Canis lupus familiaris: one gene and its partner. The protein of the gene in region 2 purifies or fractionates together with the protein of the main gene of each other region. This does not show direct contact. Links are inferred from orthologs where the notes say so. Each region holds a gene or a part of one and is shown on either strand. Other genes may lie near its edges. The genes, in order: ZNHIT6 and NUFIP1.

Region 1 (16,951 bases), on a different chromosome or scaffold from region 2:
CAGGGATGGGAATTATGTCCTGTTTTATACCTTTTTCAATTTTAGATCATTTGCATGTAATGCTTATTTTAAGAATAAATAAATGACTTTGTTAAAATAATTTTAAAAGGCATTGATAGATGTGGGCAGGACCATTAAACATTTTGAGTTGTAAATAGAATCTTTGAAAAATATATATATGATTCTACATTTTTATCCACAATTGCCACTCTTTTTCAGTATTGTTTTAGTGTTTACTACAGGATGCCATAGGTATCAAACCCGGAGATGTTTTGGTTGTGCCTGGATAAGTAACAAGTCTCATTTGGTCACATAACTCCCCTCATTTTATCTTCCTGGCTATTTGGGTCTGAGGATTCAACAGTGAGGTCAAGAATGCACTTTGACTTGTCAACTGAAAAAAAAAAAAAAAAAATTGGACTGAAGATCCCTTCCCCAATAGTATTTTTAGCTTAACTCCAGGCTTGGACTCTAGTGTGGACTAACCACCCAATCCCAACTTTTGGCCTTTCTTTCTCCTGCAGTTTGTCTCCACATAACTTCTAAGCAACCCAGTCCTTTTTATCATTCCTCTCTGTCAGCTTAGAACTGAGGTTTTAACTTCCTTTTGGCTCAGGGTTCTTTTCTATCTGTGGGTCTCTCTTAGAGTATGAAGATGGTAGAAGTGTGTCCATTATTTTAACAACAGTGTGAATTAGTAATTGAGCTCCAGTCCTTTTTTAGAAACTAGCCACTAGATGTCTCTCTTGTAAAGAAGTAACCTTTTACAGATTCACAAAATTACTTTTTTTCCTTTGGATAAAATCACAGCATTCTAATTATATCACAATAATAGACCCATCTACCTCTTTATTAATGTCAGTAGCACCTTTTTTCTTTTCTTATGAAGAATGGTGATACACTTCATAAAGCACAGTATTTTGTTTGCGTGATTACCTGTAAGTAGTATAGGTTTGTACTTTACTGCAGACTGACTTTAGAAAAGAGCAAAGGAAAATGAAATGACAGGTTTAACAGCTGTGGTCATGGGGGGGGACAAGTCAATTTTGCAGTGATCTAGTTTGGTTGAAGATTTTCAGAACAACAGCAGGACCTTAGAAAAAACAGTGGGAAAGACTAGAAACTGGTTCTTCAAATAGCCATTTCCTTACAGGAGCCGTGTAGGTAGTAGTGAGACGTTTCTGTGACATACAGCACCACAGAGGTTGTACTTCTCCGTAAAAACAATTAGCCAGCATTCATGGAACTAGAAAACACCCTTGGTCATCTTGGGGTCCCCACCCTGGTTCAGTTAGGGAAAGCCTTCCCTCGTCCCCAGGTCTACTACTTCATGATATGCCTCTGGCATGTATCTCTTTCCACTTCTTTCTCTGCCACATATATCAGACATATTCTCCCGTGCAGGCCACCTTGTGTCACCCTGGACTACTGAGGAACTTTTACATGCCCTCCCTATCTCAGTGTCTCCTTACTTCAGTCACTTGATACACTGCTGTCTGTCTGATATGTCTTTACAAAATGTGTTTTTGCTGTGATGGTCACTTGCTCAAAATCAAGGAGTTAAATCTAGGTTTAAGGATGGTTTTGTGATGAGGGTATCAGTTGCAAAAGGATAAAGTAGTAAATTTAAGACAGTGTATGTAGTTTGACGTGTCTAGAAGTTAGGTTGGGAGTTGGTAAGTGGTAAGAGATGAGGTTGGAGAGAGCCCCACTGGGCCTGGGCTTTGCAGGACCTTATATGCCATACCAGAGAGTTTAGACAGTCATACTTTGAGCAGAAAATGTTCCTGTTAGTATGAGGGATCCACACTAAATATGGGTTTTCATAGTCTGTCCCCACCTGATTTCCTCATGTATTCAACCAAGTATACACAGGCTGGTCACCATACTTAAGCCTAGAATGTTTTCCTCATCCATTATTTTCTAGCCATCTGTGAAAATACACAGGATAGCTCATCTTCTCCATTATTTCTTTTTACCACAGTTCTTATACATTTTCTCTACAGTTAATATGAAACACATGCTGCATTTAGTGCTGGCATTCATTTTTGGTATGCATATATATGTGTATATTTATATTACGTGTGTGTTGTGTATGCAGAAAGGAGAGTGTATATATCTCCTTTCTGCATTCTGGTGTGTTTCTTACTAGGGGCTCTGTTGGCATTTTGAACAGGACAGTTTTTTTGTTGTGTGGGACTTTCCCATTCATTACAGGAAGGTTAGCATTTTTGGTCTCTGCCCACTAAAATGCCTAAAGTGCTTCCCAGTCTTGGAACAGTCAGAAACTGCCCAGCCATTTCTAAATGTCCCCACCGCCCAGGTTGGTACAATTCCCAGTTGAGAACTGCTTTATTAAGTGCTCAAGTATTTATCAGTTATTTGAAGCAAAATGTACTTTTTTATTTCAGTCTTCACCTGCTATATCCATTTTCTTAATATACTGTCTACTAAAGCCAGTACCACATACTTAACCTGTTTCCTATTATTATTGTGTAGTGGTGAAACTAATTTTTGAAAGAGTAAAATGTAATATATAACTGGAACTTTTCAAAGTATTTTCATAATGATGTGAGACACATAAAATTATGGTTTTCATTCTCCCCAATTCCAGTAATTTTAATCCATGCTAAGTAACTACACAGATCCTTTGTATTCACTCTTCCAAAAACACTTATTATGGTACCAATCGTAATAAAATAGATGGATTATTTTTTATGAGGAATGGTTATATTTATTCTTGGGACTTTAAAATTTGCTCTTGAAATGTATTTTCAAAGATAAAATGCCTGTGAGTGAAGGATTATGTAGATGTTTTATACATTTGTTTTTTCCTTGAAGGATTTCAAAATTTGGTAGATTTTCTTTCTGCTTTAAATTAAAATAAGGTTTTATAACTGATGGTGGAAGAAAATGGTTTTCTCCTGAAATTCCTTCAGGTGTTATATACTGCTTCCAAATTTCATAAGAGTTAACAATTTATAGGCTATCTTCCTTTTCTACTGTTTCATAATAAAAGATGAAATCTAGAAAGAAGAAAACTTTAATTTCTTATATCAGGATGCTTGATGTTGCTTGAAATAGAATACCCAATTCAAACCAGTTTGAGCTGTAAAAGGGCATATTATTGGCTGTCGTAACTGAATGTCCTGAGGTAAGATGGACTTCAGAGTTAATAGATAAAATGACTCAATTACATCATCAGTGATCTAGTTTATTGCTGATTCTCCATTATATCTTCAGTGGTGTCAGCTGAATCCTCATGGTCATAGGATGCCCCCGGTAATAGTTTGAGTTGCAGTAAATATCCAAGAGTGCTTCTCTCTGAGCATCACTGAATAGAAAACCTGAAATTCACCACGATTGGACCTCTTAGGTCATCTGCCCCATCCTGAGCCATTGTGTCGAGGAAAACCTAGGATAGTGATTTTCTTAAGCCAACTCATAAGTGCATGTCCCTAGAGATAGGGAATGGGTTCCATTCATCAAAGTATGGTTATGGATTAGGAAGAAAGTTGGTGGTAATAAGAGATTACAAAGGAGGCAATTAAACTATAACTCTTATAAATGATTTCAAAATATGAAGGCAAATATGTAAAATATGACTGAGGTACATTTAAATTAATAGTACATAAAAATACATGGTTATTGAAGTTGCAGTTCTAGTAAGTTCATAATAGTATAGACGATTAGAGCATAGACTGGAATTATTGTACTGCCTGGATTAAAATTTCACTTCTGTCACTTTCCAGCTGAATAATGACCTTGAAATGGACTTTCCTCTTAGGGTTCTCATCTGTAAAATGAAATAATGTCATTCATCTTAGGGCTAGAAGAATTAAATGAATTAATACATGTAAACATTTAGAACAATGTCTGACATATTAAAAGCACTTAATAAACTATTACTACTATTGCTGCTTGCTAGTGCTCTCTGGTAAAAGGACCTGCTGGCAGGTTTGATAGCCTGTAGACTTTACTAATTTAACTAGTGGTGTAGTATTCTAAAGAGTAGACATGTGGAAATTCTAGCTTTAGCTTACTCCCATGGAATCACCTGTATTTAAAAATTAGAAGTAACAATTTTAGGCACATTTGAACTGACATGATATGTCATTGTGCTTCTCAAAAGTAGTGAGAGATATTTCCCTTAATAACTATAAACAAAAGCTGAAGTTAATGTCTTGAATATTTACTAGGAGAGTTAAATAAATAGTAGGGTGATTTGAGTCTGCCACTAAGCCCTTCATTTCATTCTTTTTAAAAAAACCTTTGCTGTTGGTGCATTAACCACAGAATAAAATCCATAATGTTTAACAGAACATTCAGGTCTTTTTTACAATCTACTATGAATCCAGATGCCCAGTTTCATTTCTAGACACTAAACACTAAATTCAGTATAAGCGCACTTTGGTTAGGAACTCATGGCAAAATATTCTTAAAGACTGTGAATATTTCTGTTTTTAAGCTTCATATTTCTGTTTTTAAGCTTCATAATTCAAGGTATTGAATGTAGAATTATTATAATGGCAATAACAGTAATTAACATTTTTTATATATTCTGAGCCCTTGAGATACATTTACTCATTTAACACTATGGTATAAATACTATTGTTATCCCCCATTTTACTGTGAAAAATCTGAATCACAGATACAAATCACATCAAGTTAGAAATTGTTGAGAGTAAGATTTAAGCACAGAGTCCACTTAACTTTTGCCCTGTCTTACCTCTGATCCTTACAGTACAATGAGTATTCTTCCTTTGTACAGTGTACATGAAGAACAAGGTTCTTTCATGTGGAAACTAGCCTCTCATAGCCATATGGAAAGGAAACACAGTGCCCAGGATTGGTGGTTGACTTCGAGCCTAAACAGAAGCCTACCTTGGGCTCATCCCCTTTGTTCACATCCTTAATGACTACTGGGCCTTTAGGAGTGTTCTTTGAATAAGTATTGGTTAGTCAGTGAGAGAGTGAAATAAAAGTTGGTGATTTTTTTTTTTTAGGAATAAAAATATTCAAGCTCATTTAAATTTTATATTAGAAATCTTAGTTCTTAGAATTCAGCCATCATATGTAACTCTTAGCTGTGGCATATTTCTTGAGGAAGATAGCTTTGAAGCTGTAAAAATTATTAGATAAGTAACCCTAGTTCTGGTTGGGTAATAATTTCTGAGATAAAAAAGGAAAGCTCTTAAAAGAACACTTCCAATAATAAATATTTTTAGGTTTAAAAAGAATGTTAAAATTAATCCTGTCCTTTCTAGGACTACCATCCTGTGTTTTCCAATGAAAACATTTTTGGGACACCTGGGTGGCTCAGTGGTTGAGCATCTGCCTTAGGCTCAGGTCATGATCCTGGGGTCCTGGGTTCAAGTTCCACATCAGGCTCCCCCACAGGGAACCTGCTTCTCCCTCTGCCTTTGTCTCTATATCTCTCATGAATAAATAAATAAAATCTTTTTTAAAAAAAGCATTTTTGACTTTGCTGTTTATATAAAAGAGAAATCATTATGTCAAAGATTTAATAGAGATATATAAAGTAAGAAGTCCTTTCATAATGGCAAGAAATAACTATAGTTAAGAGTTTGGGGCACATCCTTCATACTTGTAAACACACGCGTGGACATATTTTCAACATAAATGCCTTCATTTAGCACGTACATTTTTCTTCCCCAGCACATATAGTTCTGCCTCAACTTTTCATTCACTATCTGGATCTGCTCTAATGTATTTAATCAGTTCTCTGATGATATCCATTTAGATTATTTTTTATTTTTTTCTGTTATAAAGAATGACACAGTGGACATGAGCACATGTCATTACTTGTCCAATTGTTTCCTTGAAATAAATTCCTGGGAATAAAACAGTTGAGGCAAAAATATATATATTTCTTGCATTATTAATATTTATTTATAGCTGTTATGAAATTGAACTGCCAGATGCTTACACCGATTTATATTCCTCTCAGCAATGGAAAGTGTCCATTTCACCACAATTGCCTAGTATTTCTAATTTTAACATCATTTTTGTAAATCTGATAGGTGAAAATATTTCTACTTACTTTTGTTTGGTTATAAGTGAGCTGGTATTATCAAACTCTAACCATACTGCCTTGAGATGCCTAAGTTACCTAGGATATCAGGGTACAGTATTTCCATTTGTGAGAACATTGGTAATTATGGCAAGGACACAGTGACATTATTATAGTTGAAGGCATTTTGTTTAATTTAGGGAACAATAGTCTTAATATAGTAGGAGTAATAGTAAATGTTTTAATCTCTGTCCCAGTTCTCATTCAGTGGTGATTTTGCCTCCCAGAAGACATTTGCAATAATTGGGAGCATCTTTTGTTGTCCCAACTGGAGGAGTGGGTGTTGCTAGTGGCATCTCAAGGGATGCTGCTAAACATCCTACATGAGAAAATGTCTCCCTTGCCTCCCTCCTGTCCTGCCTTCCATAACAAAGAAGTATGTGATCCAGAATATTAACACTGCATAGTTTAAGAAAATTTGTCCTAGCCCAATAATTCTACTCCTTAGAATCTGTCTTTATAAAATAGTCCAAGGGGATCCTTGGGTGGCTCGGCGGTTTAGAGCCTGCCTTCAGCCCAGGGTGTGATCCTGGAGTCCCGGAATCGAGTCCCACATCGGGGTCTCTGCATGGAGCCTGCTTCTCCCTCTGCCTGTGTCTCTCATGAATAAATAAAATCTTTAAAATAAAATAAAATTAAAATAGTCCAAAATACAAAAAGGTATGCGTGTGTGTGTGTAATTGGAGCATGTATCACGATATATAATTATGAAAAGTGGGAAACAAACTTAATTCTTTGAAGAACAAACTGATAGTTACCGGGAGGGAAGTGGAGGAAGGTGAAATAGATGGTAGTGCTTATGATGAGCACTGATAGAACACTGCATGTTAACTACGCTGGAATTAAATTTAAAAGTTTAATTTAAAAAATCTTAATTATTTGAGACTTAGATTTGATTGCCCATGGCAACTGCATCAGTTGCCAACTCTAAAGAATTGGCAACAACTTCAGAGATAAATTAACTCAGCCATTTTGGGAATTCTATATACAGTGCCCTTCAACTTCTCTATGTCCATTCTTTCACTTAAGTCTTCTATTCTGAATTACTGTTTGCACATGCTTTTTATGCTACCATTAGAGTTAAAAAGTACAGGCAGTTTTTCAGTGAAGCTAACTTTTAATTTTGTGTACCAGTAGAGTTAAATGATAGACCCATTCATAGAGATAGTCTTTTATTTTTTCTTTACTGTAATTTCATATGGAAGAACAAATGATAAAAAATTGAAAACAGTCATAATGTCTATCAGTAGAGAATGGATAAATAGGTTTTGGCATTTTTCACAAAGTGAAATTCTGTATGATGGTTTAAATTAATGAACTAATCTGATAAATCTAAAGCATAATGTAAATGAAAAGCAAGGCATAGGATATTTAGAGTATGATAACTTTGAAGTAAGTGTTAATATTACATAAAATACTATATTGTTTATAGCTATGTATATATCCATAAAATATAAAACATAAAACCATGGATGGCGAGAATACATACCCAACATCAGGAAAGTAGCTACCTCTGATGATAGATGAGAAGGGAATTCGATCAAAGAACAATAGAAAGGATTATCAACCATATCAATAGCCTTCTATTTCTTGGAAGAAAAACGTATTTCAAATAAATATTGCAGAGTGCAAGTTTCTTAAGTCTTGAGTGTTGTTTATACTCTTTTTCTTGGTTTTAAAGTATTGCAAGATCACATTTTTTTAAGTAAATGTACTTTTCAAATTTGTTCATGTTTGAACTGAGACCAAATGTAGAAAGGTTTTTATAATCATAATTTTGCAGTTATGTTTTATATAATAAAACAGTAGTGAATGACTTCCCTACAACCACAGCTAGTTAACTGTAGCAAATAAAATTATTTCTAAGGGCTTTTCTTCCTTTGTTTTTGGGATGTTTAGTACTTTTTGAAGATATTTAGGGTCTACTGAATGTTAAGAAAGAAAAATGGTTCTTGAAATTACTTAAGCAATGATTGGAATAATTGAATATGATTTATAATTCCATAGGATGATGAGTTCATAATCTTTTTTCTCCCCTGTAATTTAACACAGAAAATACAAATATAGTTAAAAACCATATTATACATTAAGATTTAAAAATCAGTTTATTTCTTACTAAGAAATGTGGAATTGGGTGCCTGGTGACTCAGTTGTTTGAAGGTCCTACTCTTGGTTTCTGCTCAGGTCATGATCCTTAGGGTCGTAAGATCAAGCCACCCTGTGTTGGGCTCCACACTCCACTCAGCACGGAGTGTGCTTGAGACTCTTTGCCTCCTCCCTCTTCCTTCCTTCCTCTTCAGCTCCTCCACACCACACATGCACGCTCTTGTGTGTGTGCTCTCTCTCTCTCTCTCTCTCTCTCTGTCTCAAATGAATAAATAAATAAAATGCTTAGAAAAACAAAACGTGGAATCTCTAAATTTGATGATGTGATGCTCTGCCTATTTCACAGATAATGTACATTGCAGAGTTTTTGTTTTGGAAGAATTATTTATTTAAAACCAGGAACTGTTATATTTGCTTTCAGATTTTTTTTAAAGTTTTTTTTCTCTGAGATTTTAAACATCTGGTCTTTAAATTAGTAAAGTGTGCTTGTGGCTTTGTTCTATCGAAAAAAACAAATACTAAACATGATTGTTTCTTATATGGTAAGTGGTACTTTCAACATAAGCATAATCAAGCATATTTTTTTCTAGCTAAAGCCAAAAACTGTCTTGTTATGAAAGAAAACTTCTATAAGCAGATCTATGATAACTTACCCTAACAGAAGGATTTCTACTTGCTTTTATGGTTATTCTGACAAAAATTTGACTAAATCTTGTGAATGTTTGGTGAGAGCTACTGTACTAGATTGTATTTAAAGAAAATTAGTTGAGATTTTGGAGCCATACTACTAAGGGATAGATTTATAGTGATGCTGGTCATCTGCTTGGATGTGCTTTTGGCCATTAACTTGCCAGTGGATTGTTAGAAATTTCTTCTAAGTAAGGAAAACATGTAAAACCATCATATGGTGAAAACATTTAAATTTCTGTGTTGGATTCAATATTTCGAGCATACAATTTTTTAAAGGAATGGTATATAGTATCACCAAATTTAGGTATGCTAAATAGAACATATGGTCATTATGCTAAAATTAGCCATTTAGTGAATTATTACTGTTGACCCTGTATCAAACCAAAGTTTAGACCTGAAAGCAAAGGGACTCTAGCTTAGAGTGCGTTCTGCTTAGCAACCAACTTGTTGTCTACTGTTTTGCTACTGAATGCACGTACTCATGGCTCAGAAGTGTATCTGCAGCCAGCTGGTCACAACCAGACAACACTTCATTCACCTAATTTCCAGACTAGTTAGGCAAAGACATCAGCTCATTGTTTTTAGTCATAAGCAAATTTATTTGTAAACTTCGAGTAGTAGCACATTGATCTAAAAAACCCCTGAACTGTGAGACATTGCCTTCTAATTCAGGAATATAAAGTCCTTGTAATTTAGAACTGCTGCACTTAATTTTGTTTTCCTCTTAAAAATCCTTACAAGTATATTGTTTAGAAAACAACAGCTTCTAAAATCCTAGAAAAAAAGAAAATAGTAGAAAAGATACATTAAATTCTGAGAATACTTTTTGAATAGTTATCTGAAAATGAAAATTCAGGAGGTTCAATTTGTGCTCAGACTTTTATTATCTAACTTGGTCCTCATAAGATTATCTTCTAATTTAGGAAACAACAGTTTTGTTGGCATGTGAAGCTCCAGTTTCCTCAGAGTCAAGCTGTGTACATAGAAAAAAGGTATAGTATAACCACTATTAAGAGCTTCTTTGTTCTTACTGTGTTTTTGTATTTAAAATAACCCTATTAACTTAAATGTGGTATCGGTAAATGTATGTCAGTAGAATGGATAATTAAGTTGTTATCTTAATACAATTAAGTGCTCAACATTATTGAATGAACTACAGCTACATACATCAACATGATCTCAAATGTTGAATGAGAAAAACAAGTTAAGGAAGAATGCCTAGAGTGTGATTATGTTTGTAAATATAAGATGGTGTACTTTTTAGGAATACTTGCAGAGGTGGTAAAACTCTAAGGGAAATGATTAGCCACAGAAGTCATGATGGTGTTTATTTCTCCAGGCAGAGCAGACATGAGGAGAAAGATGCAGAGAGACTCGAGAGGGTTAAAAACTTTCTTTTTGTTAGAGTTGAGTGTTAATAGAGGAAATGAAAAATGACCCAAAATTCTATGCAAAGATTATCTTGGGCATGTATATGTGTATACTCAAAATTGAAATTAATTTATATAAACAGCTTTTTGTCCTTTTTTCATATTTGCACATTTTTAAGTATTCTTTAAAAATTTTAATGGTTATGTACTATTTGGTTCCTTGGCTTGGGAAAATTTTACAGTTGCTTTTTAAGTAATAGATTAACCGTATATTCACATTTTGCATAAGCTTCCTCTCTTTATAATTGTCATGGGGATTTTAGTGAAGTGAAGAACTTTATTATTTGAAGTTGTATACCAGACTAAAATCAGGGGAAAGGACTTAAATTTTATAGATGGGGGAATATAGCACAATAGCAGATATGAATATGTATAAATGATTGAAGAAAGTTACTCATTCAGAGCAGTGTCTTAATTTTGCTTTTACAGATCTGTAGTTCAAAACAGTTTGCGTATTTACCAGAAAGTTGAAAAGCCTGAAATACTTTGTTTCCAGGGAAAGTAGAATCAATTTTTTACCCGGTCTTATGATTTAGAATGAATAAACTGAACATGCACTGAAATTAGCATCGTTTTCGATCTTTTTTCAGATTTTATATTTCTGCAGCTTTCAAATATATTTCATCCTGCATTCTTTCTTCTCATCTGTGAGCACAGGTGTGTGTTAAAAGAGGCTTCATATTTTTATAATTGATTTATAGGGACCTTCTCAAAATATTGCTTTTTAGGACTTTTTAAGTGTGTCCAAGAAGTCTTTTTGAGCTTTTTTCCTAAGTAATTTTTGCTTTAAAGGATGTTATGTTTTGCCAAGAGTAAAATAAAAGGTGTGTGTTCAGTCATTTAAACAAAAAGCCACAAGATTTAGTAATTCCAAGTTAACACCTTTAGTAGAAAATAAATAATAATATGTTATTGTTTTGTTTTTTTGTTGTTGGAAAGAGTACCAGATGATAAAACTATTAATGAAATCCTAAGGCCTTATATTGATCCTGAAAAGTCTGATCCTGTAATTCGTCAAAGGTATGTCTCAAAAATCTTATAATTTTCTGAAATTATTAAAAATGTTGATGTACTGGTTATGTGCATATTAATTATGTTAAGTTAGGACTTTATTAGACTGTGATTATGTCAATGCAGTTTACTTTCTGTGCCATTTCCTTGGTGTTTACTCAAGGTTTTGTCAGTCATGGATGATGCTTTTGGATAGTAATAAAAACAGTACGTAACACTTAGTACTTACTGTTTTCTAGACATTCATTAAAGCAGATGATAAATATGTATTAATTAATTCCTCACAGTAACCCCTTAAGATAGATTACTGCTGTCATACCCATTTTGTATATGGGGAAACTAAGCCTTAAAGTGGTTAAATGACTTCATATAGCAAATAAGCAGGGAAGCTGGGATTTAAATCCAGGCAGTCAGTAGTGAGACTCTGCACTGTTAACTCTTAAATCAAACTTCTTTAAAATGGAATAAAAAACTAAAAATTAAGAGTTTCCAAGTAACTGTTAAAGACAGGAAATTCTGTTTCAGCCAAGTCTTCATAAAACTAATTAAGATACACTCTGCCTCCTGTCCAGAAATATAGTATCGACAAAAATGGTTAATGTAGCATAGTAGAAAGATTCAGTTATGAATATCTGGGCTAGAATAGCTCACTCTGTCCCTTTTTAGCTATGTGATCAGGAGTAAGTTACTTAACTTCTGGACCTTAATTTTTTATCAGTAAAATGAGAATGTTAATATCCACTAGATAAGGTGGTTTGAAGCTTTGGAAAAAAAAAAAAAAAAGCATATATCAAGTTCCTAGTACAGGGCCTAGCACACAGTAGGCAGCATTTAAAAAGAGAAACTATTATTAGAATGTGAATTAGTTTTCCTGAGCAGGAACCCACTTGACTTTGTTTTCGCCAGATGGTACCTACTTGGAATATGAATGCCTGGTTTGGTTCCAGTGTAACCTAATGTTTCAATGTTAGACTGGGTGGATTCTAAAATGTCTGATTCAATTCTAGTTAAATCTCATCTTCTACTTGTAATAAAGGTTGAGCCCAGACTGAACCAGATCCGTGACCCATATCAAGTAGTGTCTTTGGTACACATATAGTGGTTGAATTTCTTTCCTTCTTATTACTGATAATTCAGTTGTTATCATTGGTCATATGTTTGGCAAGAAGACAAAGTGTCACTAAATTGAATACACTTTTTAAAGATAAATAAAATGGCAAGTTTAATTTAATTTACTTAAATAGACATTTTTAATCTAAGATACTATACGGAGAGAAGAAAGGTAATTTTTAAAAATTCAAATCCTTCCTTAGAAAATATCTTTAACCCCTTTTCTGTGCTTGGATAGTTGGATTTTAAGTATTATTAGCTACTCATAAATGTTTAGTCTTCCATGGATACTATCTTGAAATATATTAAAAATCAGTTTTGTTTCCTTCAATATGACATTTTTATTTCAGGTTGAAAGCCTACATTCGCTCTCAGACTGGGGTCCAAATTTTAATGAAGGTTGAATATATGCAGCAAAATTTAGTAAGGTAAAATTGCTTCCCTCCCCATTTCTTTAAATATTTTCTAATTCTGTAATATAATTAAGTAGCCTGATTAGCTTAAGTAGCCAGTTATTATACTAATATGACTTCCAAATTAAAATTTTAAAATAATCACACTTAAAGGATAAATTCAGTTGAAATATTACTAAAGTTAAAGTATCTTAAAATAGCATTATGAACAAGTAAAAGATTCCTAAATCCCATTTGAACTTACTTCAAGAAATATTCTGGAGATGCCTGGGTGGTTCAGCAGTTAAGCGTGTATGCCTTCAGCTTAGGGCATGATCCTAGAGTTCTTGGATCGAGTTCCTCAACGGGCTCCTGGCATGGAGCCTGCTTCTCCCTTTGCCTGTGTCTCTGCCTCTCTCTTTCTGTGTCTGTCATGAGTAAGTAAATAAATGTTTAAAAAAAAATATTCTGTACAACAGAGTTCTAATGTTCAAGTTTTTGCCTTTGGAAATACAAAAATTCATGTGACCAACTGAGCATTGCATATATTGCATTCTTTGCAGAGAAAAGTAGAAAGAGCCAGGTTATAACAAACCATATTATTTGAGACAGTTCTTTACTATGCTCTGTTCCTTAATAGAGTGGTGATACAGACTACACCAAACCATCTCTGAGAGTTCTGCAAAGTCTACTTTTGTGCCAGTTATGTGTCAGCATACTGAATTACAAAATACTGATCTTTGATGACCTTTGATGCTCTTCCATTGTTAACAAAACTACCAAAGTCAATTCAGACTAGATCTGGTCAGTCTCACCTATGATTCGATTTGTTAACATAGCTTAGAGGTTTTAGGATCCAGGCTTTGAAAGCAGAGCTGGGATTTCAGCCCAGCTTGCCTGATTCCAGTTATGTTAACTTGAGTAAATTATGTAACCTTACTTACCTTAGTTCCCTCACCTTTAGAATAGGGGTGATAATAGTAATTATAAGATTGTCATGAGGGGTGCCTAGGTGGCTCAGTCAGGTAAACATCTGCCTTACGCTTACCTTATGATCTCGGCTTGGATCCTTGGCTTGAGCCCCGGTTCAGGCTCCAGGGAGCCTGCCTTTCCCTCTCCCTCTGCTTGCCGCTCCACCCCCCCTTCTACGCAGACACGCGTTCTCCTTCTCTCTCTCCCAAATAAATAAAAATCTTAAAAAAAAATCCTCATGAGAGATTATGATAGTTCATTCAGCACTTGGTAAGTGCATGCTATTATTATTACTATGAATACAAATAAATGGATTCTTACAAAATGTCTACACATAAGATTACAAGACTTAAAGCTAAGAACAGATTTAAACACCAAATCTTGACCACCTTCTTTTACCAGCATGTCGCAAATACCCTCAATTTCATGTCATTGATCATGGTTCGGTGATGAAAAATTCAAGTTTTCTATAACGTAATTTTTCTCTAGACTTCTTAATTCAGTATATTTACATGCAGTTCATGCTTTAACTCTCCTCCTTCCCCCAGAAGATTTGGGGCCTTAAATGAGAAATGGACAGAAAGTTTTGTGGGTTTTGCAAAGATATTTATTCAGAGTTATAACATCCATGTTAACCAAAATCAGTATTTCTGAAATTGATAATCAGACATTTATGTAATTAGTGAGAAATACTGACATAAAAAGTGCATTTCAGTTTTACTTAGCAAAATCTTAAAGTAGATTTCATACAATTCATGTTTAAACAAAACAATTTGCATCATTCCCTTGGAATTTACCTCCTGTCAATCATTAAGTAATTTTTCTTTTTTTATTATGTTACCTCGTTCAAATTCAGTTCCTTAAAAAAAATCAGTTCCTTTCTTAACATTTACTATATTTAGTTAATTCTTGTAAATGTTACTTAGATTTACATGATGCACTCCTGTGGCTTCAGTTGTATAAGCCTGTTAATAGAACACTTTTGAGGGTTTTTATGAAAAATAAAAGTGCTTTTTGTATAGTTATCTCATCTCCTCTTCTCTAGGCCATGGGACTAAGATATACTCTCCCAAGTCTTCTCCTAACAGCCTGCTGACGTGTCCAGCATTCTAACACTCGTGCACCACATTTATCAACTCCTTGTCATAGACTGCACTGCCAGTATGGGGATAACATGTAAATGGCTCCAGAAAAATCGTAGAAGGGAGACAGTAAAAAGTGCCACCCATCAAACTAAATTGCTTCAGTTATTGCTTCATCATTTCCTTTGTTGTACTTATCAGACCTTGAATTATTACAAATAGCAGCCATTGACTATTTTAATGGCTGCATAAATGCAGTTGTTTTCTTAATAAGTATGTATTTGAAATACCATATTGCTTTTCTAGACTTAATAAAAATATTTATTTTGGTGAGTTTGGGCATCGTACTGGACATGGTCGCCTTATTTACCTAAACTGTTAGGCAAATAACTAATTTTCTTTACCAAAGATAAGGGAAACTACCTATATCATTTTGGTACAACTGCAAAGAACAAAAGGTTTGGATTTATTTTTCTTTTTTAATTTTGTTTTAGTTTATTATGGTTTTTATTTTGTTTCTTTGTTGTTCCCATTTTTATTTCCTTCATTACCAGAAAGAGGGTTTGGAATATTTCCATTTTAAGGCAAACCGAGGAGTGGCTAGTGAAGAAAGGTGCAAGCTCACCAAGCCAGTCAAACTTGACTCTTCGGCATAGTATCCTTGTCTTCCAAAATTCAAGGAAACCAAAATTGTATGTGTTAAAAGATAGGATACTGAGTATTTTAAAGTTTATAATACAGGACATACTGGGCTCAGATAGCATTCATTTTTAACTTGGAAATGTGTACTATAAATGCCTGAAGAGGCAGAGAGGATGGAGATTTTGAGATGGAGATCTCAGCATGTCCTGGCAGACCAGGGTTTTCCAGGAGAGTGGCTGGCAGAAATGCCTACAGCATGGCATGATCCAGAGAGGAGCAGTTGGGAAAATCATTTCATGGAGTTGCATAGAAAGAAATCAGGATACATTAGAGACCAGAACACAGGAAGATACCAGTCAGATCAGAAAGGTGTATTTTAACAAAAAGGGTAACCTGAACCCCAAGAAAAGTAAAAAAAAGTGCACTGAATTGAAGGTCAAATGACCTAATTCTAGGTACTCACCTTCTCTCTGCTTCATTTTCTTTTAAGGTCCTTTATTTTCTCTTATTTTATACTTTATACTTATTTTATACCTGAGCCATTCTGAATAGCATGAAAAGTATTTTGACTTTATCTTATTTACGTAAAAAAGTTGCCATCTGCATTTCCCCATTTGAGTTGTTTATTTGAACTCAGTGATCTATGAAAACATTAAAGAACAAGAAGGGGAAGTTTATAGCCTAGATCCTCAGAAACTCCAGTGAAGGAGTTTTTATCCTAAGTTGGGATAAAGTACATCATATATTTCTGATTTATTAAGTGAGCTTCATGATACAGTTATCCTAATTTCTGTACAACTTCACAGTTTTCAAGTATTTTCTAATCATGAATAATGAAATTAGATACTATGTGAATACATTTAGAAATAGATTTTCATTTGATGTTTTTAATTAAAGATTTTCAATCAGCGTTTTTCAGATAATTCATTCATAGATAGGATAAGATGAACGCTTACATTTGATTGTATATTTAATTACATTTGTATCATTAAAGGAAAGTACATTAAAGATTATTAAAGGTTTTAAAACATTAAGCTTCTAATATAAGATAAGCATGCTAAAATAAGAGGATTTTATTATTTCCTAAAAAGTGCTTATAAGGCAGAAACATGTAGTTTCCTTGTGGCTGTTGATTTTAAATGTATTCTACAATTTACAGCATTCCAGTGACTCCAGAGTAAAGTCTTTTTACCAAATTCTTGATGTTGCCAGTTTCCACTGGCTGTGTTTTCCATTCTTAGAGGGTTTATGACCGTTGTCTCATGATATACCTGGTCAGCTAGAGCAATCTTAAATGTTTCCCAATTTTTAGCTTTGCCATACCTGACTTTTGTTTTTAGATTTAGGGGATTATAGAATCCATGTCTAACCCTAAGGAATTTGCTGCTGATCTGTTTGGAGTTTTCAGAATACACGGTGTTT
Region 2 (16,951 bases):
TAAACACACACACATATGCATACACAGAGTATCACTGTAAATTCAGTAGTGTTCACTGCAGTCTCATTAACATTGGAGAAAAACTGGAAACAAATTTCCCCATAGGGGAATGATTTACAAAGTGAAAGTGCATATATGCATATGTGCATATATTTACATATATATAAATATTCATGACATAATGTCAAGTGAAAAATTTGCAAAGCAATATCTATCGGCCACCTCATCACAAAATTTATATAAGCATATTTAGGTATTTGTAAATATATGTATTTTAAAAGTCTGGAAATACACACCAAACTATTAGCAGTGATACCTCTGGGTAATAGGATAAGAATAGTAGAGGGCAAAACAAACCTTTTTTATCTTATATACAACTGGATTATTTGAATTCCTACAATGAGCATATCGCTCTTGTCATAAAAAAACAACAAAATGAACAAGGCAACTGAGAAACACAGTGACTAAATACAGCACAGTATCCTGAACTTAATCATCAGAAAGGACACAATGGAAGACTGGAGAAATCCAAGTAAAGCCTATAGTTGAGTTCTACAAATTAAATAAAAATATAAAAATAACCAGAAAAATGTATAGACACTAAACTGCAAATACTTGACCCAGGCAATGGTGGTATTGCCCTCAAATAGCCAGAGATAAAAGACTGCTGGAAACCACAATAATGGAAACTTTCACACAATCTATGAAAAGGGAAAACTATTATAGGTTGTCCTGGGGGTGCACAGAGACACATTCAAGTCAACAGGTACAAAAGACCGAAAGAAGACCCAGAAAGCGTTCCAAACACTAGCCACAGGTTGTGTTTCACAAGGGTACACTGCTCTGCAGGGCACAGTCTAGGGCAACAGCGATCAAGAACAGAAATTTCAATTCAGGTATGTTCTGCATATGTCTTCTTTATTACTCCATTTACTCACATTTACTAGTTTTCTCCTCTCCCAGTTTTGAAATAATCAATTCGTACGTGCCTCCCAAGAAGCCCCCAGCTATGCTAACAGCAGACTGTTTTGGAGCAAGTCTGCCCTCTGAAGCTCCAGCTTCCACATAGCAGAAGTGGCTTCTCTTCTCCCAGAGCGACCATTCAGTCCACATCAGCCTTGCGTATGGGGCAAATAGTTACTGGACAAAGGAAGTCAATAGGGCAGCTTTCAAATGAATATTAAATATGTGGCAAAACCTGCCCTGGTCTGTTCCTTCAGCAGGAACAGTCTGTTCCTATCTTCCTCCACTCCACTCTCACAACAGTAGTAGCCACAAGCTCTACTACAGTTGGCATGGCCATTTTCACAATTAAATGAAGATATAGCATCCATTTCAGAATTTAAAAGGTCTACTACTTCATGGAGAAAAGGAAGGTGATAATAATAGTAAATACAACACAGGAGTTGAGCAAATATTAAATATGTCCAATGTATATTTTTCTAATCTGGCATTTGTGATAAACAAGGTATGAAATGAAATACACATAATGATCTCAACTATGTTATCTTAACAAGTTATAGAAATTTAATTTGTCTGATTGGATAGCTGATGGTCTTAAGGAATTATTAATTGTAAAGATATGGTGGGGATTTTTTTCAAGTCCTTATCTTCTAGAGACATATACTAATTATACAGGAATAAAGTAGTAAGATGTCTGGGCATTTGCTTCAAAATAATCTCAGGTGGGGTGGGGAGGAATAGGTGAGTTATAGATGAAAATAAGACTGTCCACAGATTGATAAAGCATCGAAGCTGCTATCTGATAGTTGGGAAAAGGGGTATCATTACATGATGCTCTATACTTTTACATAGGTTTGAAATTCTCCAAAATGAAATGCTTTCTAAAAAGCCAGAAGAAGAATTTTTTTAAAAGATGCTTACTCTAAAACAGAATATAATGAATGAAGAAATTAAGTTAAAAGTAGATTAAAACAGCTCTTTTTATGTCTCTTTATGCTTCAAATTCCTTGAAGTGGTATTTAAAAAAAAATAACTGGAGATTACAACAGGGAAGGAGTACAAGATAGAAGGTAATATTGGGGTGCCAGTGGTTTTGAGAAACTTGTAAGTTCCCCACAGTGGTTCTTAAAATGTGGTCCTCCAGACAAACCTCAAAAGCATCACCCATAAACCTGTTAGCAATGCGAATTCACAGGCCACATGCCAACCTCCTTAATTATAATTTTTAGGGGGTAGGGCCCTGCAACCTGGATTTAACAAGCCCTCCTGGTGATTCTGGTGTCCATTAAAGGTGGGGAACCACAATAAAGCTGATCAGACTGATAAAAAGCAAGAGTGGAAAGCCTCAGCCCAAACCGGCCCAAGAGACAACCGAAAGATAAAAGCAATCCCAAGGATACACTAAGCTGAGTGTACACATGACAGAAAGGTGGACGCCTCCAGCTGTGACCATCAAGTCTTAACCTTGCCCACCTCCAAAACCAAATGGTTGGTGGGAGTGGGAGAGCTCTGCCCTGGAGAGAAGAGGTCTATCCTCAGAATAAGAGGTGAAGGTGAGGATGGGACAAGAGCAGAGATCTGCCCATTTCCCATCCATGTACTCCAAACAGTCTGCGTGAACAAGTCCCCGTTTCTCAGTCAAGGTAAACGTCTTTTTTTTTTTTTTTAATATTTTATTTATTTGAGAGAGAGAGAGTACAAGCAGGGGGAGCGGCAGGCAGAGGCAGAGGGAGAAGCAGGCAACCCTCAGAGCAGGGAGCCCAACGTGGGGCTCGATCCCAGAACCCCAAGGTCATGACCCGAGCCAAAGGCAGACGCTTGACCAATGGAGCCACCCAGGTGCCCCGGTAAGTGTCTTTTGAAGAAGGCTCATGCCAATGTGGGGAAAATACACACCCAATCACCAATATATTAATCAAGTGAATATCATATGTAAGAATGATCCTTTAAAGAAAACAAATAGTGTAAAGATAATTAGTAAACTGAACAAATTAAAACAATGGAGTTGGCAATGGAGAATACAAGTAATTGAAGGAATAGAAAATAACATGGAAATTCCAACTGATATCCTCAGAAATGTAAGGATACCACATCAATGAAAAAAGCAGTGAGGCCAAGAAAGCCATCTTGAATATTTAAAAACAAATTACTAAACTTAAAATGAAACAGAAGCTAAAATACTAATGTAATGGACATGCCTGAAGAGGGAATCAGTGATCTGGACATTAATATCTGAAGAAGTCTTCCAGAACAGAGCAAAAAGCCCAAGACAAAACATAAATGTCCAGTGACAGAAGATCAAGGCAGGAGGTCCCACACTCAAAAAGAGTTCCAGGAAAATGAAACAGATAAAATGGAAAGAAAATCATTAAAGAAACCATTTTAGAAACTGTTCTTCATCCAAGAATGGTACAATTCTACAGAGTGAAAGGACCATGGGGTGTGACAAATGTCCCACACACCTAGACACATAATGGTAAAACTTCTAGAGCTCCAAGCATAAAAAGAAAATCCTAAAAGCTTTTCAATGACAGAAAAACAGGTTTTTATCAATAAATAAAAAGAGAAGGTGAGAGAATTAGATTGGTGTCTGATTTTTTGAATCAGCAATACTGGATGCTAACAGACCATCACGTGAATGCTTCAAAATTCTGAAGGGAAAGGATTTTGAACTTAACACCCTAAACTCAATTAAAAAAAAAATTCAAATGGAGGATTCAAACTGATGGATTAATTACCTGATGATACACTGCAGTAAACCAAAAAACTAATCTTGGGATGAAAGAAAAAGCAGTGAGAAGGAAACAGTAATACTTGTATTTGTCTAAATAACTACGCATACTATTAAAACACACACAAACACACACCAAGGTAACAGAAATGAATCCAAAACAAATCCCACACGATGACAGAAGGAGATGTCCAGGAAGGGAAGTGCTACGATGCTAACGGAGAGAAATGGAAGATAGGGCCACTGTATCTACAGACTCAGAGAAAAAGATAACCACTAAAGGAACAGCAATAGGTTTAATTGTCTTCGAAGCACTAGAAAGAAAAATGAAGAGAAAAAAACAACAATCATGCCACTGAAATGCTGAAATAAGATACAAAAAAAAAAAAAAAAAAAGGCTAGGATGGTCCCTCCAAACATTTCAACAATTTCAATTAATATAAGTGGATTAAATTCCCCAGAGGCTATTAGACTGAACTCCCAAAAAGCTGTTTTGACTACATTAATTGAGGGAAAATAGGTCAATGCAGAGAGTACTGAGGACAAGAGTATTTCACAGTTATAAAAGACACAACTCACCACAAGTCATCATATAATGCTTTCTTTTACATTCAGAAATCAGTTTGTTATACGAACAGTTGGACAGGAATGTAGATGGTATGAACAATTAACAAGCTAAATCCAAAAAAACCTTGTATCCAAGGGCAGGCACCCTTCCCCCTGAAAACACTCACAGAATATTTACAAATATTGACTGTGTATTTCATAAAGTAGAAACCACATAGGCTATATGGTGCTTAGAAATTAAATGCACTTGAATTCCTGGGTTAAATATAAAGGCAACTGAATCTGAAATTACCCACTAGAAATAACTGACAGTCACTAGAGCTCAAGACGGCCAGATATAGACAAGGCAATACTCAGAAGAGCAGTTTCAGTCTTAAATACATTTATTAGAAAACAAGAGAAATTGAAAATAAAACTTTGTACAATATACTCTAAAGCAGTGATTGTGAATATCCCTGGAGTTATGGAGGTCTGTGAAAGCAGCCTAGGAGTCTGAATTCATTTAGTATTTAAAGCCTATGGAACTTGCATGCCAGCCTATGATAAAACTGCAGAGTAAGTCAGATTTTAGGATATCAACCCAGTGTATAACGCTGGTTACTTCATCCTGATGAGATGAATTGGGTTAAGAGTCACAGCTATGAATAATGTAAAAATTAAACTGAATCCCTTAAAGTCAGGCAAGCCTCATTCATTTTTCTATTTTTAATCCATGTATACTGGCAGCACATAAATAAGCACTCAACAGTGTTACATAAATTGAATTAAGTAATGTGCTGGACAGATAATTTTCTAAAACATGGGATTCATTGCAGGAGGAGAGTTAAACAGAATAAAAAGGTCTGTATGGTGGGGCAGCCCAGGTGGCTCAGCAGTTTAGCGCTGCCTTCAGCCTGGGGCATGATCCTGGAGACCCAGGATTGAGTCCTAGTCGGGCTCCCTGCATGGAGCCTGCTTCTCCCTCTGCCTGTGTCTCTGCCTCTCTGTCTCTCATAAATTAAAAAAATCTTAAAAGAAAAAAAAAGTCTGTATGGCAGTTACAAAGTTGGGAAACACTGACCTAAATATGAATTTTGATCTTTGGTCTGTAGTATCATAGCGTTATATGCCAGGTGTTCCCGGATTCTGGATAGGATCTTATAAATATAGGAACAAGAGATCTTTCTTCAGGGCTGCCATCAGCTTTCTTGCTTGCCTTTTTCTTGCAGGCAAGACTCATGGACTTCAATAATCACAATGTTAGAAAAAATTCAATTTTTCAACCACATCAGATTAATTTTCTTTTAAATTTAAAAAAGGAAGGCTCCAGTTCTAGCTAGCACAAGCGACTAGGACATAAGATCAAAACCTCTGATATTGGGACACCTGGGTGGCTCAGTGGTTAAACATCTGCTTTCGGCTCAGGGCGTGGTCCCGGGGTCCCAGGATCAAGTCTCGCCTCCGGCTTCCTGCAGGGAGCCTGCTTCTCCCTCTGCCTGTGTCTCTGCCTCTCTCTCTGTGTCCCTCATGAATAAATAAATAAAATCTTTAAAAAAAACAAACTCTGGTATTAAAAAGACTCAAAAAAGATCTGTTTATTTAAAAACATTTTAAAAGGGTTCAATTAAGAAATATGCTCAGTTTTAAATATTAAAACTGAGGTTTTACATTATTTCACGAACTACAGTTTTTGCTACAAATTAGATGGACCTCATCAAGTACCATGCTTTACATTTGAGAAATTAAAAAGGTCCAATTCTGAACCATACCAAAAAGAAGCACTTCCAGTGAATCTAAACATACACAGAGGCCTTATCTATGTCAATATTCCAAACATTCAGTATTTGAACTACTTAAATAGTGTCAATAGGTGAATTTCCGAATGTCCTTGGAAATAAACTGGGAAATTTTAAATTTCAAGACCTTTTGAGTGTATTAATTTGATATGGTTTATTATTTAAATAATCCCCCTTGCTACAGTTAAAGGATGATTCTCATTTTCCTGCATTTAGACAAAATGACGGGGCAGGTCGGGTGGCCCAGCAGTTTAGCGCCGCCTTCAGCCCAGGGCGTGATTCTGGAGACCCGGGATCGAGTCCCACATCGGGCTCCCAGCATTGAGCCTGCTTCTCCCTCTGCCTGTGTCTCTGTCTCTCTCTCTCTGTGTCTCTCATGAATAAATAAATAAAATCTTTAAAAAATAATAAAATAAAGACGAAATGACTGTACTTCTCTCCGTAACCTACAGCTTTGCTCAATTATGTTTGCTGAATTAAACATTTTTAAGGTCTTTTTCTTTACTACTAACCCAATATCTTCAATTTTTGACTGGTCCCACAGCAGACTTCCTTACCTGACAGCAATAATACAAATAAATATAAGTAAAAAGTAGAACTCTACCAGCAAATATTAGGCAAACCCCAACAATAGAGACAGAGTCTTAAAACCAGTTATGTATTTATTTGCATAGATTCAAAGGAAAGAATTAAAAATCCAACATAATATTTCATAAGGTCTACAATTATTAATCCAGTTGTTTTTTTTTTTAAAAAAGGTTTTCCTCCACTAACTTTAGGATGGGCCTATTTCACATGAGTGCTGGTACCTATACATCTTTAGTTTTTGCAGAATTAGTATTAAGTCCAAAAAAGTCCTTTTTGATGATGTACCGAACACACTGTAAAATCACATTTCTTTCATGTCGAATGTCTGGAGCTAAAAGCTAAAAAACAATAAATAAAATGATTAGCTGGTAAATAAAATATATCCAGGAAACACAATCTAAAATATTATATATACCTTCTCCATATAAAGAATACAGAATAAAGATATATATTTATAATAACTTATATTTATAACCTATATATAAATATATATTTAAATCATTTCACTAAAAAAATAATGCAAGAACATTTCCTCTTAACTTACACCAAGACTATCTAGTTTTTAAACAGCATAAATGTTCACATTTTCAGTCCTTTCTAGGAGTATCTAAACAAAGGACAGGAAATGTAGGTTTAAAAGTCTGTAATTCTTTAACCTACAAATCATGTCAAAGAGGACCCTCTTAAACCTAAACCTACAAACAGTATAGAAACTTATAAGCAGATACAGTAAATATAGTAGTGATGAAACCAGCAGTAAAAAATCCCAACAGTCCTGGATTTTTACAACTTTTCATTTTTGTGCCTGTTGCAATTGAAGGCAATCTAAAAAAATTCCTGGTATTTAGAAGAAATACATAACCAAGGAATCATATATGATTTGCCAAAAAGGGTAAGATCATTCAATTTATTTTCTGATGTTATTAGTTTAGAAACATCACAGAGGAATGAACGTTCTGTGAAGAGATGATTTAATTTACCACTTACAAGGTATTTTAAAAATGCAACTTACTTTATATAAACACTGAAATTTATAAAATAAAGAGTACACTTCAGATCAATTCAAATAAGAAGCAACTGGGTCTCCATGTAACACCTCAAAGAGGGTAGCCACAGAACACCTTAGCTACAGTGTAAGCATTTAGCTGACAGGGCAAAAAGGACTTTTCACACACTGTCAAAAGTTCTAGGGGATCCCTGGGTGGCTCAGCGGTTTGGCGCCTGCCTTTGGCCCAGGGCAATACTGGAGTCCCAGGATCAAGTCCCGCGTTGGGCTCCTGGCATGGAGCCTGCTTCTCCCTCTGCCTTTATCTCTGCCTCTCTCTCTCTCTATGTCTATCATAAATAAATGAATAAATCTAAAAAAAAAAAAAAAAAAAAGAAAGAAAGAAAGAAAGAAAGAAAGAAAGAGAAAGAAAGAAAGAAAGAAAAAAAAAGTTCTACAAGTCTAGTAAAAATTTTGGAATATTTTTCTATTACCCTTAGTATGAAAGAACTGGATCTTTGAACAGCTTCATGTCCATTACTTAGAATCAAAAGATGTGCTGCTTCCTCTTAAAATGTGAAGAAATAAGATTTTTCAGCACATCACACTGAGAATAAAGCCAATAATGCACAAAATAAACACATAAAAACCTCTTCCTCCTTTTAGTCTGCCATTGTACTTAGCTGTGCTTTCAGTGAAAACTTTAAAAATGTCAGTACACCTTAATACATATTTCCTTATCAATTAAATCTACAGATTCTTTCATTTTTAGCAGTTTTAAAAAGTGTAATGATTCCACATTTACTAAACATCAGCTATATGCCAAATGCAGCTTCAAAATTAAGATACACAAATAAGTCTTCAAAGAATAAAGGTCTTTGGTGAAGTTAAAAAGCATGCATGCATGAACCCATGCAGAAACCCAGTGGCTCTGGCTTCATCACCTGAGAAGAAAAGAGAGATCAGAATGTAAAGAAAAGTCACTTACCATTTCCAGGAGATATGGATGGTGTGTCCTTGGTTCAAATAAGGTATGATAGTTGTGATAATCTTTTTTCCTCTTAGGGTTTGTCTTTTTAAAACTTTTCTTTGGGCTCCTATAGTTTTTAACAGTCACTTTAACATTGTTCCTTGATCTCTTAGGAGTATTGTTATGAAGAACCTCATCTTCCACCAGAATGTCTGCTTCAGTCTTAATGGGAGCTTCTAAATGTGATGAGAACAAATACAAAAACAATAAAAAAACAGGTAAACTTCCAAAAATAACCCAAAAAGTCATAATACTCCCCCCAGTAGCCATAATCCTGGCTACTTATTAATAAAAACTAGGCATTTTCAATGCAGTACAGTATTTTTCAGATTGGAAATATAACTGCCAATAATTGAAGAGATTACCACAAAGAGCTGCAGGAAGTGATCTCGATGAAGGAAATAGTATCAGATGGAAACTTGCATCTACCCAAAGGAATGAAGAGTGTCAGAAACCGTCAATATAGGGGTAAATACAAAAAGACATTTTTTTCTGATTTGAAAAAGGTTTTAAAGATAACTGACTACTCTAAGCAAAAATAGAAACAATGTATGTGGGATTCATAACACCTGTAGGAAAATCTGATAACAAGAGCATAAAGGAAGGGAAGAGGAAAATGTAAGTATATTGCTATAAAATTCTTAAATTACATATATGAAATGGTATAATACCACTGAAAGTATATTGTGATAAGCTGAAGCTACATACTATATATAGACCAACTCCTAAAAAGCAAAACAAAGAGGTTCAACAAATAAACCCATATTTACACTGCCCTAATAATAAGACAGCATAAATCCAAAGGCAAGAAAGAAGGAAAACAGAACAAAGACAAAAAGAAACAGCCATATCAATAATTACAATATATATAAATAACTTAAACATCCCACTTAAAAGGGTGAGTGGTCAGACTGGGGGAAGAGAGAATGTGGGGAACAAGATCAACTACATAATGTCTACAAGAAACCAACCTTAAATTGTTGGCAGTTCTTGCTTTGCACAAACAGAACGGAGATGAAATCTCAGTTATCAAGGAAGTATGAAGCAAAGACTGTCTGTGACCAGACACAGATTAAAAGCAAAAGGAGGAAAGAAAATACCATACATATAGCAATCATAAAAAAGCTGGATCGGCTACATCAATATCAGACAAAGGAGACTTCAGAATAGGGACCATCACCAGGGACAAAGAAGGACAGTTCATAAGGATAAAGAAATCAATTCATCAAGAAGATAAAACAGTAACACCTAATAACAGAATTTCATTATACGTGTAGCAAAAGCTTAAAAGAACTGAAACAAGAAAAAGACAAATCCATTATTAAGGTTAGAGACAATTTTAACACTTTGCTCTCAGTAACTGAAGAACAATTAAACAGAAAATGAGCAGGAATATAGAAGACCTGAGTACCCTAACAACTCAAACTGACAAACACTCAATCCAAGATACGTTTTTGTCAAGTTCACATAAACATTCACTTGTGCTAGGCTATAAAACAAGTCTCAATAAGCTGGAAAAACAAAAAACAAAAAATGCCTGGCAAGTGTACAAAGTATGCTCTCTGACTGTAACAGAATTCAAGTAAAATCAGTTAACAGAAAACTATCTAGAAAACCTCCAATCTCTGGAAACTAAACAACATATGTCTAAATAACCCATGAGTTAAAGAACAAATCATGAGATGTTAGAAAATATTTTTTAAAAAATAAAAATGAAAACATAATGTAAATTTATAGGATGCAGCTAAAGCAGTGCATGGAGACAAATTTATAGTTTTGATTGCTTTTATTAGAAATAAAGAAAAGCCTAAAATCAATTATCTGAACTTCCACTAAATCAGATAGTGAAAAGAGAGGAAATAACAGAGTGAAAAATCAATGAATTACAAGCAGACAATAAAGAAAAATATAAATAGAAAAATCAGAAGTTGGTACACTCTAAAAGATTAACAAAATTAATAAACATCTAGCAAGATTGAGCAAGAAAAAAAGAAAAAAATACCATTTAATAATATGAGGAATCAAAGGGGGGATATCACTACAGATCCTACAGATATCACAAGAAAATATTATGAACAACTTTATGCCAATAAATTTGACAACAGAAATGAAACAGATTTTTTTGAAAAACACAAATTACCAAACTGAACAAGAAAAATCAGAAAATCTGAATAGTCCTCTACCTATTAAGGAAATTTAATTCATAATTGAAAGTCTACCCCCTCCTCTAAAATGCCAGGTACAGATAACTCCATTACTGAATTCTACAAATAAGACAAAATGGTAGCAATCCTACACAAAGTCTTAAAAAAGAGGTGGAGGAAATAGATCCCACTCATACCAAATCCAGACAAAGTCATTATAAGAAAAGAAAAACACATCCTTCATGACCATGGAGGTAAATATCTTTAACAAATAAATAAAGATAGTAAATAAATATCTTTTATAAATTATTAGTAAAAGACCAAGTAGATTTTATTTCAGGAATAAAGGTTGGTTTGATACTTGAAAATCAATCAATATATTTCACCATATTAAGAAGAATAAAGAAAAGAACCATATGATTAGTTGAAAACTGACAAGTTTTAAGGATCTCCTCCTCTCACTCCTAAAATGGTTATTCTGTATTTCTGACAAGGTGATATGATATAAAGAATTCAATTCTAGAAGGTGGGAGACTGGGTTCAATTGCCTGGACAAGAGTATAGGAATCTAATCATATCCCTCAAAACCTTCAACACCCAAGTATTACATAAGACCAAATGTGATAACTACCTTTGAAACAAAGTACAGGGTAATAAGTCTTAGAAGCATAAATCCTAGTCCCAAACTGTTAGGTTCAAGTTCTAGTTTCATCACATACTAGTTGCGATCTTCAGGCAAGTTACTTATCTCTGCCTAAATATCCTCACAAATAATGGCACCTGCTACATGAAGTTACTGTGATAACTAAATGAGTAAAGCACATAAAACAGGACCTGACCCAGAATCAACAATATATAAAGAATATGCTATGACAGGGGTGCCTGGGTGGCTCAGTCAGTTAAGCATCTGACTCTTGATTTTAGCTCAAGTCATGATCTCAGGGTTGTATGACTGAGCCCCCAAGCCAGGTTCTACATAGCATGGAGCCTGCTTGAGATTCGCTCTCCCTCTCTACCCAACTCAAGTGCACATCATGCACACTCTCTAGCTCAAAAAGAAAAAAAAAAAAAAGAATTTGCTATAATGATAGTGGTTTTGATGTGCCCTCAAAGTGATAGAAAAAAGAAAAAAAAATCAGAAATGTAACCATAAAAGGAGCAAAGAATTCAAGTGGTTTATAGAGTTCAAAACTATGAGAATAATAACAAAAGGCAATAAGAAAAGACAGAGTTCTAATTTCTATTTTTCCCTTCCCCTTCAAGTATTGGTCTTCCAATCCAGGAATACAAAAGTCAAATGAATCAGAGCTTACACTGTCAATTTTCTGCTAAGGAACGAGGAACCAGAACCATTTATATTTTTCTTGAGGCTCACAACATTTCCCAGCTTAGTATCATATTTTAATGCAATGTTTATCAATTCAAATAAATTTAAAATATAACCACTGCACTTTTTCAAACCTATAAATCCTTTTTGGCATGTGGTCTTTAAACATGAGTTTTCAATGGAGGACCTCCAGTCACAGCCCAAATCATTTTGAAAAAACAACAATTTTGGAGAGCTATAAAACTGTGCTTAACTTCTAACATGGCAAAACAAAAACAAAAAACTAACATGTAAAATCTGGAAGAGATTTCAAACTAATTGATTTGGAAATATTACTCATTGAAATTTTCTTTCCTATGTATAGCTTAATGATTTTGAAATCCCCAAAGCCAAGCTTAGCCTCTTGTTTTGTTTCAGTCTTTCTTAAGGGACTCCTTCCTTGTTTAAAACTGTTTCTGGAAAAAAAGCACAATTCATGTTTAAAATCCTCTATATACCTGTATTAACTCCTAAGTTGAGATAGATATTAACTAAGATGATACAATTGTTTAAATCTGTGAGGAATCAGAATGCTCCCCTCCATTTAAAATCCACTTAAGTAAGGAGCCTTCTAGATGCTATTTCATAGCTCAGAGAAAGCCCACTTTATTTCTTTGGTTTATTTCTTCCAAAGTCCCTATGTGTCAATATGCTATCCTACAGCCCAGAATTTACAATGGAAGTTGGAAACTTGCTAGTGACCTGGATGGCTCAATAAAGCTGAATTCAAACTACATAAAATAATTCTTAGGCCTTAGGAATGTGAAGCAAAGGCTTTTTCCTTCAAGCAGGGCATTTTAGACAATCAGTAAAAATAAATTCATATAAGGTAAAATTTATCTTTTAATAGACAATATCTTGTTATCTTTAAGAAAAGGCTATGCATTTCTGTTCAGGAAGACAGTAAATGTAACACAGAGAATGCCTAAAACGAAAGTTGGTGTTTAAGATTTTTCAGTCCCAAACCTAGGCTTTACAACAGCTCTGCCACATACTAACTTTGCAAAGAAGTTAAGCTTAAGGTTCCATAAATGAAGGAGTGGAATCTCAAAGATCACTCCCAGTTTCCTTTCTTTCTTCTAATTTAAAAATGGTGGCAGCCTCAAAATTAAGACATGAGAATGAAAGTATTAAATGTTTCATCTTAAGAGAGAGAGAGAGAGAGAGAGAGAGAGAGAGAGGAGAGCATTAGTGCAACTTGTTTTTATAAAATTCAGTAATCTGGTAATAGCTTTCATTGCTATCACCCGTCATAAATACAAGCGATAAGCAAGAAATGTAATATGTGTTTAAAGAATAACTCCATCTTCATATCAGTGTACTGGAAACAAGAGTAAAGAAATAAATACTGTTTTTCTTAAAATTAAAATAAAAACAAGAAGAGGCAACCATCAGTTAAGAAATACTCTGATAAGGCCAAAGTAGTTTGTATTTCAAAATTCAAGTAGCTTTTAACCAGCTACCACAGTAAACCACGGTCCATTAAAAAAAGAAGAAAAATCCCTATGTTACGGATACATCTAAACATTATCCTTCATATTAAATCCCAACTCTTTCTCCTTCAACATCTTCCAACTACAGAGTGATTATCTCTAATTTAATCAACATTAAAAGTGCTGCCATCTTCATCCAATTACACTCAAATCTTCCTTTCTTTTTACACACTCACTTGCAGACCCTGTACTCTTATCTTCAGTACAGCTCCTACTGTGATTACACATCTTGTACAGAGACACATACACAGGAATTCTCTCATGGTTGGTAAAGCCCAAATAAATTCACCATGCAGAGCCAGGTTTCCAACAGAAGGACACAGACTTATTCATTAAACAAATGCTGATTATTTATATGAACCTTGGGTTTATAATTGACACATTAGATTAATAACATAATAACTCTTTTAGGTGACCCTAAAAAAAGACGCTACGTTAAGCTGGTTTATTATCATCTTTAAAGGTCAGACATGTATCCTGCACATCACTGACTCCTCAGAAAAAACCTTGAAGGAATTCCATTTTATCCAGTCTTTGAAACATACAGGCTAACTCAACCACAAGCACAGAGTTATTGTGTTCTCCAAATGAGGCAATTTATGTAAATATGCTCTATAAAAAATAACGTTCTATATACATGTAAGGAATTCTACCATCCACTTTGTCACAAAGGACCTCTATTCATCTACCAAAGGTGCTATAAACATGTTAAGACAAGAATTGAGAGTAGGAAACAACAAATTAACTTTCTTTGCTGTATCTTTTAGAATTGTCTTTGATTCCATTAATGGCATATTATCTCTTCCCTTTCCTATTCTGTCACTGTATTATTTTTGCCCTTTTCTCCCAGGCTAACAACACATTTCCTCATTTCTCCAGCTTTCCTTTATCCCATGCTAACATCACTTCTGAATCAAATGAAAAATATGAAGATTAAATAAACAATGCTCTTGATACATTTTGTCCTCAGAAAGACATACATGAAATGATGCTACTGATGCACAGTATACATCAAATTCAAAGAGCAATAAAACAAACCTATCAACTGAGGCCATGACTTACCTTCTGGCTCACTCTCTGACCCTGAGAGACTACCATAGCTGCTCATTAGTGAGCACAGGGCTGGTGTCACTTCCTTGGGTATGACCGTACTTTGTGGTTTCTCCTCTTTATCAGATTCTGAAAAAAAAAAAAAAAAACAGGAATGAGATAAAACAGTATACCAAAAACATCCACCACCATAAAAAAGAAAGCTGACAGGTCCCCTACTCCTTATATGTTAGTGAAAAGAAAGTAATTTCTGATCATTTCCTTAATCTTTCCCAAAAACAAAATTCAGGAAACTTGAAATTTTTTCCTTGGTTTATTTACATCTTCATGGTCAGAGAAGCTACTTGCCCCAAAGAGAACACAGAAGGCCAATGGAAGCTATATACAGCTTAGTTACTTACCATGCTTCACACATTACGGAATTTGAGCCTTCTCTAAGTTAATTATACAGTCTTTGCTAATTAATTTATTTTACCTTATTAGGCTATTATGCTATTAATTAATTTTATTAGGTAATAGGAAGGCCAAGGCCAGAAATTTATTTAACTTCACTGGATTAGGAATAAATAATAAAAAAATATCTACTTTTCTTGTTTTTAAGACTAAGTTTTGAGGGCACAAATAAAATTTAACCATTCTATATATAAAAGCTTAGTCAAAGACTTATGCTGAAATGAATTCACCCAAAGTTTTTATTATTTAGAACTTCTAAGAACTTAAGTAAACAAGCCAAGCCAGAGAACTTAGCAAGTACCAAAGAGCCTGCCAAAGGTAAAGCGTTTGATCAGAGCCCATGGAGCCTAGTTGTAGCCTCAGGACACCACCTATTACATTTGTTTTTGGCAGCTCTAAAAATGTATTACATTTAGTCTAAACAATCAATAAAAAATAAAGCCTGACTGAAGAATGAAGACAGGAAGTAACCTGTCTATGTAATGTACCGGCTCAACCCCCAAGTAATATGAAACATTTCAAGACAGCATTGAACATTCACCAAGTCAGTCTAGGGGAAAACAAAACATGCTAGTAGAAATTGGGGCTATACTTCTATGTGAATATGGAACTGCACATACTGGTGGATGAAGTTAAATCCCCTCTTCTCCACCCATCCACCCTACCCAGCACCATACCCTCCAAAAACTGCTCGTCAATTTTAAGGTAACTTCTCATCTTTTCTTATGAATTAATAAAGAGAAAGAAAAATATGCAGTTTATATATAAATTACTAGTGGACTAAACAGAATCTACAAAATATTAATATGGAGACTGTTCATCTCATTGTTTATTTTTTTTTCATCTCATTGTTTAAATGATGATAAGCCAAACTATTATTTCTTTCTAAGACTCAAAGAGAGGTACTGAAAAGCACAATACAGTTGACTATAACACTCTTAAAAGAATGAGTTTATTTAATCCTTAGGAGGTATCATTTTCACTATTAATTACAGATGATGAAACTGAAATTCAGAGAATCTGAGTAACTTTTCCTTCAGGTAACAAAATTATGCAACAATTGGATCAAAGTTAAATCGGGGCTGATTCCAAGTTCCAATTCTTAACTAATGGGCTAGAATATCTCCTACTGATACATAAAGTCCTCTTATTAAAATGAAGCCATCCGGGGGATGCCTGGGTGGCTCAGAGGTTTAGCACCGCCTTCAGCCCAGGGCGTGATCCTGGAGACCCAGGATCGAGTCCCACATCAGGCTCCCTGCATGGAGCCTGCTTCTCCCTCTCCCTGTGTCTCTGCCCCTCTCTCTCGGTCTCTCACAAATAAATAAATAAAATCTTTAAAAAAAAAAATGAAGCCATCATACCAAAATGTCTCTATGGTCAATAAAAATGCTAATAAATGTCTTCTTCCAGCTATGGTGCCATTTCTCCGTTCCCTGTTACAGCAAAACGATAAACAACTACCTGAAGTACTTAGATGTGAACAAGTACAAGCTATAGGAGAGAAAGGGTTTGGCTTTGTTCAGTACTGTATCCTTAGAGCCTAGAACAGTACCTAAGTGCTGAACAAATATTTGAAGAACAAACTGTTGCATGAATGAGTAAAGACGAGTTCAAAAAGGCTAACTGGTACTGAACGATAGGGCTAGGAAAAGGTGGAGCCCAACACAAACCTAGTTCTGTCTGGATTCAAAGCTCGTTTTTTTTTTTTTCTTTCTTTTCTTTAATAACATGATTCCATTTTTATTTTTAAAAATAATATACACATGATAAGAAAAATATTAAAAAGATATACAACAAAATGTG

The links.
Region 1: the proteins of NUFIP1 (region 2) and ZNHIT6 purify together in Homo sapiens (affinity purification with western blotting; 3 studies listed by BioGRID and IntAct, with this or other methods). This does not show direct contact. The link is inferred for Canis lupus familiaris from reciprocal best matches to the Homo sapiens genes NUFIP1 and ZNHIT6.

What each region holds. Positions count from the first base shown.
Region 1 is NC_049227.1:62,900,745-62,917,695, forward strand, and holds part of ZNHIT6 (box C/D snoRNA protein 1), read left to right. Parts: intron 1-9,813; coding exon 9,814-9,882; intron 9,883-10,910; coding exon of another isoform or gene 10,911-10,971; exon of another isoform or gene 10,972-10,986; intron 10,987-11,259; coding exon 11,260-11,340; intron 11,341-12,791; coding exon 12,792-12,869; intron 12,870-16,951. UniProt on the Homo sapiens protein: Required for box C/D snoRNAs accumulation involved in snoRNA processing, snoRNA transport to the nucleolus and ribosome biogenesis.
Region 2 is NC_049243.1:6,041,429-6,058,379, reverse strand, and holds the end of NUFIP1 (nuclear fragile X mental retardation-interacting protein 1), read right to left. Parts: intron 14,822-16,951; coding exon 14,705-14,821; intron 8,816-14,704; coding exon 8,598-8,815; intron 6,963-8,597; coding exon 6,846-6,962; 3' UTR 5,811-6,845; downstream 1-5,810. UniProt on the Homo sapiens protein: Binds RNA.